Xenopus tropicalis: one gene and its partner. The protein of the gene in region 2 purifies or fractionates together with the protein of the main gene of each other region. This does not show direct contact. Links are inferred from orthologs where the notes say so. Each region holds a gene or a part of one and is shown on either strand. Other genes may lie near its edges.

Evidence for each region. Proteins that work in one complex are often made in the same cells at the same time.
Region 1: the proteins of pag1 (region 2) and fyn purify together in Homo sapiens (co-immunoprecipitation; 3 studies listed by BioGRID and IntAct, with this or other methods). This does not show direct contact. The link is inferred for Xenopus tropicalis from reciprocal best matches to the Homo sapiens genes PAG1 and FYN.

What each region holds. Positions count from the first base shown.
Region 1 is NC_030681.2:76,825,512-76,833,029, reverse strand, and holds part of fyn (tyrosine-protein kinase Fyn), read right to left. Parts: intron 7,259-7,518; coding exon of another isoform or gene 7,103-7,258; intron 5,553-7,102; coding exon 5,373-5,552; intron 3,871-5,372; coding exon 3,794-3,870; intron 3,636-3,793; coding exon 3,482-3,635; intron 1-3,481. UniProt on the Homo sapiens protein: Non-receptor tyrosine-protein kinase that plays a role in many biological processes including regulation of cell growth and survival, cell adhesion, integrin-mediated signaling, cytoskeletal remodeling, cell motility, immune response and axon guidance.
Region 2 is NC_030682.2:123,782,882-123,790,399, forward strand, and holds the end of pag1 (phosphoprotein associated with glycosphingolipid-enriched microdomains 1), read right to left. Parts: intron 4,991-7,518; coding exon 4,931-4,990; intron 3,138-4,930; coding exon 2,775-3,137; 3' UTR 566-2,774; downstream 1-565. UniProt on the Homo sapiens protein: Negatively regulates TCR (T-cell antigen receptor)-mediated signaling in T-cells and FCER1 (high affinity immunoglobulin epsilon receptor)-mediated signaling in mast cells.

The sequences.
Region 1 (7,518 bases), on a different chromosome or scaffold from region 2:
TACTCTGCCTTTAAAAAGTCCACCTCTACTCCACTCATTAATCTAAATTAGTAGCACCTGCTCTTTAAAGACACCTGTCCACCCCACAGTCAGACTCCAACTAATACCACTAGACCAAAGAGCTGTCAAAAGACACCAGAGACAAAATTGTGGACCTCCACAAGGCTGGAAAGGGCTACAGGGCAATTGCCAAGCAGCTTGGTGAAAATAGATCAACTGTTGGAGCAATTGTTAGAAAATGGAAGAGGCAAAAGACTACTGTCAGTCTCCCTAGGACTGGGGCTCCATGCAAGATCTCACCTTGTGGGGTATCACTGATGATAAGAAAGGTGTGGAATCAGCTTAGAACTACAAGGGAGGAGCTGGGAAGAGAGCTGGGACCACAGTTTAAAGGTCACTGTCAGTAGAACACTACGCCGTCATGGTTTTTAAATCATGCATTGCACAGTAGGTCTGAAGCATGGGGGTGGTAAAAACATGCTTTGGGGGTGCTTTTCTGTGAAGGGGACAGGACGACTGCACAGTATTAAGGAGAGGATGAATGGGGCCATGTATTGTGAGATTTTGAGCAACAACCTCCTTCCCTCCCTCATTGAAGATGGGTCCTGGCTGGGTCTTCCAACATGACAATGACCTGAAGCACACAGCCAGGATAACCGTAAGAGGCATATCAAGGTTCTGGAGTGGCCTAGCCAGTCTCCAGACCTAAATCCATAGAAAATCTGTGGAGGGAGCTGAAACTCCATGTTGCTCAGCGACAGCCCTGAAACCTGACAGATCTAGAGGAGATCTGTGTGGAGGAGTGGGCCAAAATCCCTGTTGCAGTGTCTGCAAACCTGGTCAAGAACTACAGGAAATGTTTGGCCTCTGTAATTGCAAACAAAGGCTTCTGTACCAAATATTAACACTGATTTTCTCAGGTGTTCAAATACTTATGTGCACCAGTGCAATACAAATACATTCTTTAAAAATCATACAATGTGATTTGCTGAATTTTTTTTTAAATGCGGTCTCTCACAGTGGGAATGCACCTACAATGTGAATTTCAGACCCTTCCATGATTTCCAAGTGGGAGAACTTGCAAAATCGCAGGGTGTTCAAATACTTACATTCCTCACTGTATATATTCATGCTTGGGACCTCCCAAACTGAGCTGAGGCATTGATTATAGACATATTTATCAAGCAATACACCACACCTAACCACTTTCATACCATGGGGCCTATTTATCAGCAATAAAAGCATCCTAATGCTAAAGGCATGTAGAAAAATGCATTTAATGTATCACCCTAAAGCTGCAATTGTTTGCCATTTAATTATGCTCTCGGGAACCTGCTGATCCAAGGAAAATATCAATACAACAGGGATTCTGAACTTGAAGCATCACTAACTCTCTCTGGTTTCTATTTTAAATATCCCTTTACAGCAGGGATCTGGTACAGGCCCCCAGGAACACATCAATAGCTGTAACCGGAGGATTTTGGCAACTGTAGTTCGGCATAATTTTGGCAGCCAGAGCTTTTATATGTAAAATCAATTTATTTTCTTATACATTGCCCTAGTTTACAAGCTAGTGCTGTGACCCATATAGAATATGTCGACTGTATGAAATATGATGAGATTTTAAACAGCTGGAATGTTTATGTTTTTGCAGCTGTTATATTTTTGCCACTATGTCTTTTTTTCCCTCCTTCTCAGCTTTACCCCCCTATGCTGCTGCCTTCCTCACCCAGCGTTAATGTTCTTCCCTGCTCTTCAGGAAATTCATTGCACTGTGGAATGCATGGCCATCTTGGGTTTTTTCACAAGTGTTTAAGCCAGGCAGAGAGAGAAAGCCAAGCAGCGTGGGAGCACAAGAAAAGAAGAAAACTTTGCTATTGGTATTCTGCTTGAGCAAGTGCATGTAATGCTTGCACTGTATCTACTGATCTTGCTGGCGTGTGTGGAGTGCTCATTGGTCATTTCTACACAGTGATTAAACTGGAACAGATGGGGTTAATATGCTCATTATCCATTTCTGGGATATGTTTTGGTGAAATAGGTATAGTTTTTAAAGTTGTGGCCACAAAGTAGGCATGGTCAATTTTTTTGCTATTCAACAAGATCTTTGCCCAGAGCCTTAAAGGAACAGTAACACCAAAAAATGAAAGTGTATAAAAGTAATTACAATATTATGTACTGTTGCCCTGCATTGCTACAACTGGTGTGTTTGCCTCAGAAAGACTACTATAGTTTATATAAGTAAGCTGCTGTGTAGCCATGGGGGCAGCCATTCAAAGGAGAAAAGGCACAGGTTACTTAGCAGATAACAGATAAACCCCCATTATATGGGGCTTATCTACTAGTTATCTGCTATGTAACCTGTGCCTTTTCTCCTTTTTTCCAGCTTGAATGGCTGCCCCCATGGCTACACAGCAGCTTACTTATATATACTATAGTAGTCTTTCTGAGGCAAACACACCAGCTGTAGCAATGCAGGGCAACAGTACATAATATTGTAATTACTTTTATACACTTTCATTTTTTGGTGTTACTGTTCCTTTAAAGGAGAAGAAAAGGTAATAACTAAGTAAGCTTTATCAGAATGGTCTATGTAAATAGCACTTAATGCACTGAGTTGTCTATCAAAAGAAATACACGATTTCTTGTCTACTTTTTTCTGTGCCAGAGTCTGCACAGCTCTCTCCTCTCTCCCATAAGAATGCTAACAACCCCCCCCCCCCGCCCTTAGGAATGTGGATCTGAGCCAATCAGCAGGAAGCTTCCTCATAGTCTTACAAACTACGCATGTACAGAGGTCATGGTCTTGGTGCAGGAGCGTGGCAATATGGGAATTTTTTTACAAAGCTCAGGGTTCTTTTTTCCTATGAGGCTGAATAGGCAAAATATGGGGAGACTTAAGGGCACTATTGAGAGAACTGAAAGTATGCCTGCAGCTTGAAATTAACACTTTATTAGCCTTTCCTTCTCCTTTAAACAGCCCCGATTCAGAAACCAAACAGCAATGGTGCAGGCAGGAACCAAAATGTGGACTGCAGGAATGGTGCTTGGTTTGGACTGTAGGTCTGATGTACAGTATAGAAATGACCTTACTAGTTATGACAAGCCTTATCTTTGAGTTCCTCCATAATAGGAGGATGTAATGTATTATAGAAAGCTACAACAGCTTCCCACTACATTCAAAAAACATGGAAGTGTTATTTGTGTGTTTTTAAAGGAAGCCAATTAAGCTTGGGCAATGTCTTGCATCTTGCAGATTGACAATTTTACAAGAGACAGCTACCTGACAATTGTTTACACAAGCACTGGGGGGGGGGGATGATTATATGCCAACGACTAAGCTACTGGCAGCACCAAAGTGCCTGAAATCACTCTATGTACGATTGCTTTTATATGTAATACATATTGATAATGAATCTACATACTGCTTTCCAAGTTCCTGTTACCATTCTTTAAAAGCACATCATCATGGCTTTCATACCTTGCCTTGCAGTGTACTCATTGTCTTCAATCAATCTAGCAAGGCCAAAATCAGCAATTTTGCAAATAAGGCCATTTCCAACCAAAATATTTGCAGATCTCAAATCTCTGTGTATATAATTCATTCTCTCAATATAAGCCATGCCAGCAGCAACCTGTCAGTAAAAATAGAAAACATTAGTAAATAAATTTGCAACAGTAAGTAAAAAAAGGCAATAATAAAAATAAATTCAATAATATGGAGTTGATTAATGAAGCTTAGACTGCAGTTTGAGTAATGATGACCTTAATTAATAATGAAACTTTACTGTACCTGGGCAGCCATGTCTACTAAATTTGGCAACTTCAAGGCTCTTCCTTCTCCATCCTTTAGGAAATCTAGTAAACTACCTGCATTAGAACAATATTCAAATTAACCAACTTTATTACTTTTTTAAATTAGAAATTCCAGATGTATTAATAGGATATATAAGAATATCCCTAACAACAGCTGAATTTGTCTTTGGGGAGCCCCAAGGCTTGTGTATATATCTATATATGTATATATATCAGTAAATATTGCCCTTTTACATGCTTTCCCTTGATCCACCATTTAGTGATGGGCTGTGTGCTCCCTCAGAGATCACATGACCGGAAATAATGCAGCTCTCACTGTAACAGGAGGAAGTGTGGAGGCAAAAGGCAGAACTCTGTCCATTAATTGGCTGATGGGGCCTAGCATGTAAGTGTGCCTTGGCTTGTTTGTGTGCACTGTGAATCCTATGATCCCAGGAGGCGGCCCTTCATTCTTAAAATGGCAATTTTCTATTTAGGATAACCCAACAGCACATACTACTAAAAAAGTATATATATTTTTATTTATTTTTTAAAACTTTATTTTTAATTTTTGTTTTACAACAAGGTAGGTTACATATAAAACATGTGGGGGGAAGATAGAAAGAGTAAAGTTGGGGTCGCATAGGGGGTTGGGGGGAGGGAAGGGGGGTTAAAAAGTATATTTTTATGAAAATGTTTATTTAGATGAAGCAGGGTTTTATATATGATCTTTTTAAGAAGTATATTTTTATACAGATCTACATTGTTTTGGGGTATAGTTTTCCTTTAAGGTATAATATTGTCAAGCAAAAATCTCATCCTTTAGTGCAGATAGGCAGCTGATATCTGCTGCATCCTGTTCAGGTATGAAGTGACACTACCCATACTACTCTTCCGCACCAAATGCTCAGGTAAAGAACCCTTTACCGTACGTGCCTGAGGTGTCTGCTGTAGGAGCAGGGCTCACTTGGCATGCAGAAGAAAAATACATCACTGTGGGTCTTACTCCTAAACGCTTATTATATAGTTCCATCCATTACATGAACCAGAATGTGTCTTGTAAATACTAGCAGAAGAGAGCCTATTCCAACAGCAGCAACCAGAAAATATACACTTCTGTAATGCAGTGTAATGGCTATTTACACTAAAGGAAGGCCATGCACAGTGAAGACTTCTGCTAGTCAAGCACTTCCAGATATTGCAAGGCATGCATCTGCACTTGTAGATGATATGCATCTTCCCCGTCACAAAGAGAGCAATGAAACCCACATTAATACCCCTATGCATGTCAGGGGCTTCCTGGGGGCTTTAAAGAGGCAGTTATTTCACTTTGCTTCTACATCTTATCTTTAAATTTGGGTCTCTGGAGAAATTGTCATCTCTAACCATACAACATTAAAGATACAGATAAAGCAGGCTTAGTGGAAGTATTTGTTCAGTTGAAATAACTGGGGTGTCATGGGTATTATGTGTTCAATACAATCTGTGTGTTTCAGTAATGTCAGTCTGACATCATATGATCATAATTTACTAATTAATAAGTATTATATCTAAGAAGAGACTTTTAGAATCCTGACCTTTGCTCATGTACTCGGTGACAATATAAATGGGCTCCTCAGACACTACAGCATAGAGCTGCACAAGCTTATCATGCTTCAGTTTCTTCATGATCTGTGCTTCTTCTAAGAAAGATTCTGGAGACATGGTGCCTGGCTTCAGTGTCTTTATCGCCACCTTTGTGTTTCCATTCCATGTACCTGCAACACAACATACCCAAGAATATGCACATTAGCATCAGCTAGCATTTAGAAGGAACGGAAGAAGGGACCCATGCCATTGGCTCTAGGGTGGCAATTCTCCAGTGCTATGCAAAATCTATAAAGAAATTGTGTGGGGGTATATTTGCCCTTTAACAGGCAGCTCCTGTTACCTTTGTAGCAATGCCACAGGATGCATATACTAAATAAAATAAACTTAATGATAGCTGTGTTTCCAATTATTTGATATTTATTGCCACTTTAAAGGCCTGCTGGTATGAATTCATAACCATTGGCATGGACCCCTCCTTTCCCACACAGAGCTTGGCATGCAATCACAAATACTCATGCACTTTAAAAGCAAGCTGCATGCAATAAAAAGCCCACCCACCAAGAAAAGAAAAAAACAATATTCTCACACTAAAATCTCACCTATTTCCAATGTTAATGCAAATTTAAAACTACATTCAGAAAGGAAAGTTAGTGTGGAAATAAAGTGTTAATAGGATAATTGGTTTTGGATTGTAATTACATGCTACAATCACAATGGTAAAGGTCACAATCACAGAGGAATACAGAAACCGTGGCTAGGTTTTATTTAGGGATGCACTGAATCCATAGCTTTTTGGATCTGACCACCAACAAATTCTGCTGAAGTGTGTATATATGCTTATATGTATGTATGTATGTATGTAGTATGTACATTCTCTGTACCCCTAGTTTCAGGCATGGATTTCTGTTATTTATAGTGACACCTTCCATTTGTCAGTCTGCAGTTAAATTTAACGGAATTTATGAAACACACATACTGAAAGGGTCTGTTCACCCTAAAATTAACTTTTAATATGATGCACACAGTATTATTCTAAGCCAGCTTTTAAGTAGCCTTAATTTTTAATTTTTGTTATTTTATATTCACAGTTTTCTGTTCTACTGTTGGGTTGCCATGGCTAGCTAGATAACCAGACAGCAGATTGGAATCAATGAAATTCACTGCTAACTTTGTGTCATAGATAATGACAGATGGTTATATAGACAGACACCTCTCCATTATATAAATATATGAAAAGATATGCCAAACTTGATGGACTAATGGTTTTCTATAACCTTACCATTTAATAATGCACCATTGTCAATATAATAAACACCTTATGTGGCAGATTTATCAAAATGCGAGTTTAGAGCTTAATACATAAAAACTCACCCATGTTCAGTTCATTCCTATGGGATTTGTAGAAATGTATTTATCAAACGGTGGGTTCTAACTTTCACCCATTGATGAATAAGTATCTAAAAATCCCATAGGAATTAATAGAATGTGGGTGAGTTTGTATGTATTAAGCTCTAAACTCACATTTTGATAAATCTGCCCCTATGTTTTATACTTAATAATTTCATAAATTCTCTACTGTAGCCTATGTGGAAACCTGGAGATTAATAATCTCTGGCACAATTTCTCTTTGCCATTGATGCTAAGTGACTTTTTTAGAGATAATATTGTTTAAAAAGTAGAATGTTTTCTCCTAAGCATGAAATATTGTCCACCTTACCAAACCACACTTCAGCGAAACAGCCCTGACCAAGCTTCTGCTCCAAAGATATTGTATTCCGTGCAACCTCCCATGCATCCTTAGCCAGTCCAACAGTTTGTGGAGTATAATTCGGTGCAATCAGAGTTAAATTAAAACACAAACCATCAGCTTTCTCTATAGGAAAAGGAATTAATAAAAAAACAAAATACATTTATGTCAAACCACAGCATGCAATAAGAAAGATGGAAGGTGATTGGTGTAAAGTATTTATCAACGCCACATTATAGTAGACAACTCAGTTTTTATATATTTTTAAAACTTCTAATATTCTGGCCATAGTAAAGTCCTCAACAGGTCACACTGGAGGCTAAAGAAAGGGGATTGTGGTTTTCATGGATTAATACCTACATCACAAACTTCCTGCTTCTTGTTTG
Region 2 (7,518 bases):
GTTGTAATACTATTTGTATTTATTACATATTTACAGTATAAACAAATTTTTCTGTACCGCTCATATAAAAAACCAACAGGTTAATGTAACAAAAAGTCTTTTGTTTGCTCACATCTAGTAATCCATAGCAACCACCATAGCAACAAATCAGATGTTTGTCGACAGGTGAAAGCTACCTGCTGACTGATTGCTATGGGTTATTTTTAGACAAGTAACACACTTAAGACCATTTATTACATACTACCCAAATGTCTTCAGTCTGTTGCATGAAACTGAAACACTTGCAAGTCAGATATATTTGAATTTCCCTTATATATGTCTGCTATTGACTGGGATATGGACTCTACTGGTTTTATAGACATTGCCCCTATATTTACCAGCATCAGTGAATAAGTGAATTAGTGAATAAGACTGCTACACTGAGATTTTTGCTCCCCAGATCATTGACATAAGGCAAGCTCATCATCTTTACATTACATTGACTCATTTTGGTTTTATATCTTTACAGCATTTGTTGAATAAAGAATAAACATACCTGAGTAATAAGTTTTTTTTCTACAGAAGAAAAGGGTGGCAGTATGAAGAGTAATTAATAGTCACATCGACAGCTTTCTGTATCCTGCTACAACCTCAGCCTACTTAAAGAAGTCTGTATTTCACAAATGTTTGAGGACCTTAAACCTCACATTTTTTGACAAAATTCCTGTACATCTGAATCAATAAAATGGAAGAGCACAGCTTTATATACAGCAGAGGTGAAGTATGCTAGATTAGAGCAGGTACAAGTTTGGCCCTATATACACATCCTTTAGTTACTAGAATGTCAGCCAGCATTGTTTGATTACCCACTGATTACCAACTGATTTGCCAGCCAGTTTGATTTCCCACATTGGGACATGGGACCACTGCTGTTGATCTAAAGCAGGGGCAGGAACTGTATGGTTTGCTAGGTATTGTGAGCCACAGATGTGTGTAGGTAGGGCAGTAATTAGAGGCAAACATATTACACCGCTGTACTAGTCTGTACCAGCACCTCAAAACTAATGCTTAAAAATACACTCACAAATACTGCTTAGCAATCTTTGCAGGACTGGTCACTTAGGAACCAACCTATGGTGGTAATTACTGTGCTAGTTAGGGCTGCTACTATGCTTTTCAGGCAAGTGGACTGTATAAAAAATAAAACTACACCAATTAATATCTTTTATAGTATTCTACTTATTGGGCACTAGAGGGCAGCAGAACCTGTAAATTGAACAGACCGTTTTAACAATGTATCACCTAGACCTTTTTCTAATTTCATTTGGGCATATATGTCCCCAAACCCCTTCACTTCATTCTGTCATGGCTCTTCTGCAATCATACAACCTTCCACAGGTGTATTAAAAATATTTTTGCATTAACTGGTTCTATTAGCAATTGCCTGCGTCTCATATTTCTCCCCACTGATCCTGTCTCTCTGGGTTATGGTGCCCCCCCCCCCCCCGCCTAGCAGCAAACTGGTATAATCCTGCTGTGTGTCTCAGTGCCGCCTTGCTTGTAAAATGTAACCCCCTACTATCACTTTAGGCAGCAGAAGTAAAGTGGTGTTTATTGGGGGAAAATAATTAGAAGTCAGTCATTAGTGAAATTCGTCAGCCTTTGCCTGCTGTATGAGCTGTAGGGAATCTTTTGCAGCCTTGAGTTCCAAGTTGGTTACATAAATAGGATATACCAGGCAGCTAAGCCCAGCCTCGCTGTTCTGGTTCTGACCCCTCAGTATAGAATGCATTTCCACTTGAGTTGTGGGTGACACTTTTAGCTTTGGTATGCCAGCCTGCCATTGTCTCATACCAGCCCCAAGTCCAATGATGGTAACTGTATAGTGAAACAAAGAAAAATATTTCCTGTTCTGCAGGAGTAACCAATAGAAATCACATGACTGCTGGTAAGATTCAGACAGGCTGGTCATGGGCAGAAGTTTGTCTGATCCATTAATGATATTAAAGGGAGCAACATGAGCACAGAGTCAGAAGTCATACATTAAATCAGTCCAACTGTATGAATGAACCTGTGCGCGTGTGGCCAGTCTAACAATAAAAAGCCCCAACACATGGTTTGCATAATGGGATAATACTAGAGGAGTGCATATTTTATTTATTCCCAGACATGGCCCACCACATTGGGAGAATTGACTTTAATACCTCGATTATGAGAACGGAGTATAAAGCTGAGCAGCTGTACAGGGGCGTAACTTGATCAGTCTGATCCCATTTATTCTAGCATCAGCCTACTGCATACTTCATGTTACAATGCAAGCACTGCCGTTGCTGCTATACAACCTAATTGTAAGCTATTCAGAATAATAAAAACACACTTTCTGGCATATCCAATGGTATTCTAAACAATGTAGATTTAATCCTGCTGTGACCATTAGCTTTTCTCTCAATATAATTATCAACACTGTTAAATCCCATTATTTGTATACACAGTACAGCTGCAGAATAAAAGTCATTTATGGAAGATTTCTTTAAAAAAAAAAAATACAAAACTACCTAGAAGCTGCCTGAATTCAAGATCAGTTCCCATTTGGCAATCCTTCAGATTATGGTTAATGCCTGGCACATGTTCTTTAAGGCTGATATGAAAAGGCCCCTACGTGGGCCTGGAAGGCAGCAATAAGCAGATGTGTGCTTTTTCCGTGTCCTCACTCCACAATGAGAAAAGTACAAAAGGCTCCATCACAGACATGTGCTATTCAAGCTTGAAAAGAGAGAAAGTCACTTCCCAGGCCTTTAAAGTCTTGTAAAATCCCCATTTTGTACCAAATCCCCAATACTTTCATAGTCACTCTCTCCATGTGCAAGAAGCGTTTGGCCAGCATTGGTGTATAACATAGTCCTTTCCTCTTCTCTGCTTAAGTTAGCAATGGCTTCATACTCCGGATCAGGCCCTCCATTTGCTTTGTCCATCGCATGGGGCCCAGCTATGCTATCTGGGCTTTTATCAAGGTCTCTGACAGTGGCATAAGTACCATTGCAGGTGGTTGGGGATGTGTCCTGTGCAATATCCTGAATGTAAGCATAGTGGGAAAATTCCTCTTGAAGTTCGAAGGACTGCCCACTAGTTTTAGACACAGTGGAATACATGGCTGAAATCTAAAACAGAGACATCATATAAATAAGGGGCAATAACATGGAATGTAACATTTGTGTGCGTGCTTCCATACATTTTTGAGTGCACCTATTTCTTTCCAAACCTACTAACATGACTAAGGAAAAACTCACACCACTGGGGTGATAGGGTTTGTATAGCTGTGGTAAAGTGTAAGCTCCACAGGCTCAGGGAATGATGGAAAAACTGGGCATTCTCTGTATATTGAGGGCAGAAGCAGAAAACACCAAGCTTTTTGCTAGTTATTTATATGCAAAGGGCCCTGGGCTAATCCTGATTTGTGTAGAACTCCCAAGGTCTTATGATAATATTTTATATATTTGTTCTTACATTTTAGAGTAGAAATACTTACTTCAGAGTACTCTAAAGTATGTTTTGCGCAAGCCTACCCATTAACTGTTGAATAAGGGCTATACTTCCCCCATAACAGATACCATACCTGAAGTAGGCACCTAAGTAGTACAGAAAGCTTGCATTTTATCTTATCTTGTATTATCTACCTTATATTTCTGCCTTTACAGGACATGTAAAATAGCCTTTTTGCCACTCCTGTTGTTAAAAAGTTAATAGTAAGGCTGCAGCATCCTGTTAGTCAATCACTTAGGATTCCTTTTCCGCCTCTAACCCATTCGGCCCCTTCCCCTAGAAAATGACTTTGGCTCTTGGCTACTAAGCATGCTCAGTTCTTATCAACTTTGGTTACCAAACACACCCTCCAGTCTAGCAGCCAACGAAGAATTTCCACAGATATTCTGCTCTTGTGCACTCTGCTGGAGAAACATGCTTTTTTCCTAACCTCCTTGTCTTGAGCTCAGTATAACTTTTACAGGGCACAATCCAAGCAAGAGTTCTGATCAAAGTAAGTTCTGCCCGTGTAAGCCTGCATTCTTCATTGCATGAACTTTATGCACACATGTGCTGTTTGCAGATGTAAATGTCACTGAAGATGTGTGAGAGGGGCTGAGAGCAGCCAAAAAAGCTGGTATTTGTTTTAGGAAAATGTGATGGTGCTGGCAAACAGAGGGGATATATGCAGTACAATTGATGCCATTTGAGTGGGGAAGACCTGTCCAACTTATATACATGGTAGGAAAATGTAGGCTTTTACATGAGTTAACCGATGCTCATGCAGTCCCTATACACACACTCAGTTACTGCTAGTTATTTTATTGTGATTGATATGCTATTGAATAAATAGCTTATAGAGAATTATTATGTGCACACATTAATGGGCAGACAATCACAGGATATAAATGGGGTGCAACTGGAATTCTAGTGTCGTACTAATACAGTTACAGGCCAGGGTCCCCGATTAAAACACATAGAGAACTACTCTCATAAGAGCAGCCTGGAATGGAATACCTGCATGACTATTCTGATAAAAAAAAGTTAGACAGGTAAACCACTGGGCTTATTTATGATCTCGGGACAAATTTGCACCTGGACAGTTACCCAAAGGAACTAATCAGATGTTTGCTGTGATTGTTATACTTTCAGATGGCTAAACAAAAGCTAATTAGTGATTGGTTGCTGTGGGTTACTGCTCAGGTGCAAATTTGCCCAGTGTTGATAAATGATCCCAAGTTTTATTCAGTTGTACAAACACAAGGCCACAGTTAGTTTAGTATAATATGTATGTGAAGGTAAAGATAGCTCTGTATGCACATGCATTTGGAAGAGTCTTTTTTTTTTTAACCCAAATTAACTATAGCTATGTGCATAGTATAGCACACAGGTAATGGTATCATGAGTTACACAGGGAATTCTAAGTACATACATCTGTTTCTGTAAGACACGGATCCTCTTCTCGAGATTTGTAGGATACTAAACTTTGTCTCTGAAAGGAAAGAAAAAAAAGAAAGGAGAAAATCAATGGCTGGGTGATGCAGTGTCGGACTAGTCTACCAGAGATGTCCCAGTGGGCTTAGGCCGATCAATATTTTCACCCTGGACCTATATAAAAACTTATACAATCTGGCACTATCTATATCTAATTGCTGTGGGTCCAGGATGTCAGGCTCTGTAGTGGCCCCCAGGACACTCACTAACACTGTAGGTATGTTTATTTATCCCATCATAGCCACTGTTTTCCATTTCCAACCGCTGAATGAAAAATACTTACCTTATTTTTCGCCCTATAAGACGCTCCGGAATATAAGACGCACCCAATTTTAAAGGAGGAAAATCTAGAAAAATCTGCCAGTAGCACATCTGTCACTGTCCCGCCGCACACAGCCTGCCCAGCCCGGCATTGCCATTCCCAGCTACCCGTACATGTTGCAGCCGGAACCCGCCCCCACACACTATGGTCCAAAGGCGCACATCTCCCTGTCACCTGAGCACTGACATGACGGCACGGTGTCACACTGAGGGATACTTTCTGCATGTGAGAAGAGACGCCCGGCCCTCCCCCCACGGAATCTAAATGTACATGTAGTGCCTTATTGCCTCCTCCCCAGAAACACCTGCCCGGGCTGTGCGTCCCAGCGCTGTCACAGCAATAACACAAACTGTCTGAGTGTTTCGTTCCACTTGTGTTCCACTCATGTTCCTCTGTGCACCCACACTCACCTCATACTTGAGCGCGGCCCGCCTGCTCCATCATTTCTATTTACTACTCCCCACCCTACCCTACTAGCACCCAAGAGGCCCCCCAGTATGGGTAAGCAATGCGAATTTAAAAAATACGAAACCCCGCAACTTGCCATAGCGACGCTCGGTGTGACGTTCTGCGTTGTCAGACGTCCGGGGGGGGGCTGTCCCACAGTACTGCCGGGGGTTGCCCCATTCACTGAGGTGCCTGCTGATCCCATAGCCGCTCAGGCTGCTGAATGCTGTGCCTATTCCATGGCTGCAGAGCCGGCCTGAGACACTGAGGTGACACTCTCTGGGGCCAACTGGCGCCTGTACTCGAGCATGCTGGGAAACCTGAGTGGGGCTCAGGCGTATTCGTCGTATAAGACGCACCAACTTTTCCCCCCCAGTTTTGGGGAAGAAAAAGTGCGTCTTATACGGCGAAAAATACGGTAGATCTGAATAGACTATCATTTACGTTTAGCTGGCATGCTCCTCCTGCGGCTTCTCACCTACATTCAAAGCTTGTTCTGATGCAATGGGTTGTAGTTCAGCAGCATCTGGTGGTTCCGCCCTGGTTTAAACATACAACATCCCAAACAACACATATTGGCGTCGCAGAACATATGGGAATGATTGCTAAATACATTGAGTATATACATAATGTCCTGGCCTCTTTCCTCTAAACATGAGTCATGGATTGCAAAACTCAACTTGTTACCTTATTTCATCCCGAATGTGTTCTGAATTTATCCTATTTACCCACTGTGGTGGCTTTCTCTGCTCGTATACTCCACCTTTTATATATGGACTTTAAGGTTTTTGAAGTTAGAATAGGATCACTTTTTCCATGTAGTGAAGTATTTATATACCTTCTACTTAACTTTACGGTTTTATCTTCTACACAAGGTTAATGATAGCCTATTGTGTACAGAGGCTTTTTTTTTACCCCAATATATCTATATCTATCTATCTATTATATATATATATATATATATATATATATATATATATCTGACTGTGACGGCACTCTGATCCATATGTTCTGGGACTGTGGTATGTTTGAACAATATTGCTCTCAAATGCTGACTAACCTTAGTTACATAGTTACATAGGGTTGAAAAAAGACCAGTGTCCATCAAGTTCAACCCATCCAAGTAAACCCAGCACACCTAACCCACACCTACCAATCTATACACTCACATACATAAACTATAAATACAACCACTAGTACTAACTGTAGATATTAGTATCACAATAGCCTTGGATATTCTGATTGATCAAGAACTCATCCAGGCCCCTCTTAAAGGCATTAACAGAATCTGCCATTACCACATCACTAGGAAGGGCATTCCCCAGCCTCACTGCCCTCACCGTGAAAAACCACCTACGCTGCTTCAAATGGAAGCTCCGTTCCTCTAATCTAAAGGGGTGACCTCTGGTGCGTTGATTGTTTTTATGGGAAAAAAGAACACCCCCCATCTGCCTATAATCCCCTCTAATGTACTTGTACAGAGTAATCATGTCCCCTCGCAAGCGCCTCTTTTCCAGAGAAAACAACCTCAACCTCGACAGTCTAACCTCATAGTTTAAATCGTCCATCCCCTTAACCAGTTTAGTTGCAGTCTCTGCACTCTCTCCAGCTCATTAATATCCTTCTTAAGGACTGGAGCCCAAAACTGCACTGCATACTCAAGGTGAGGCCTTACCAGGGACCTATAAAGGGGCAAAATTATGTTCTCATCCCTTGAGTCAATGCCCTTTTTTATACAAGACAGCACTTTATTTGCT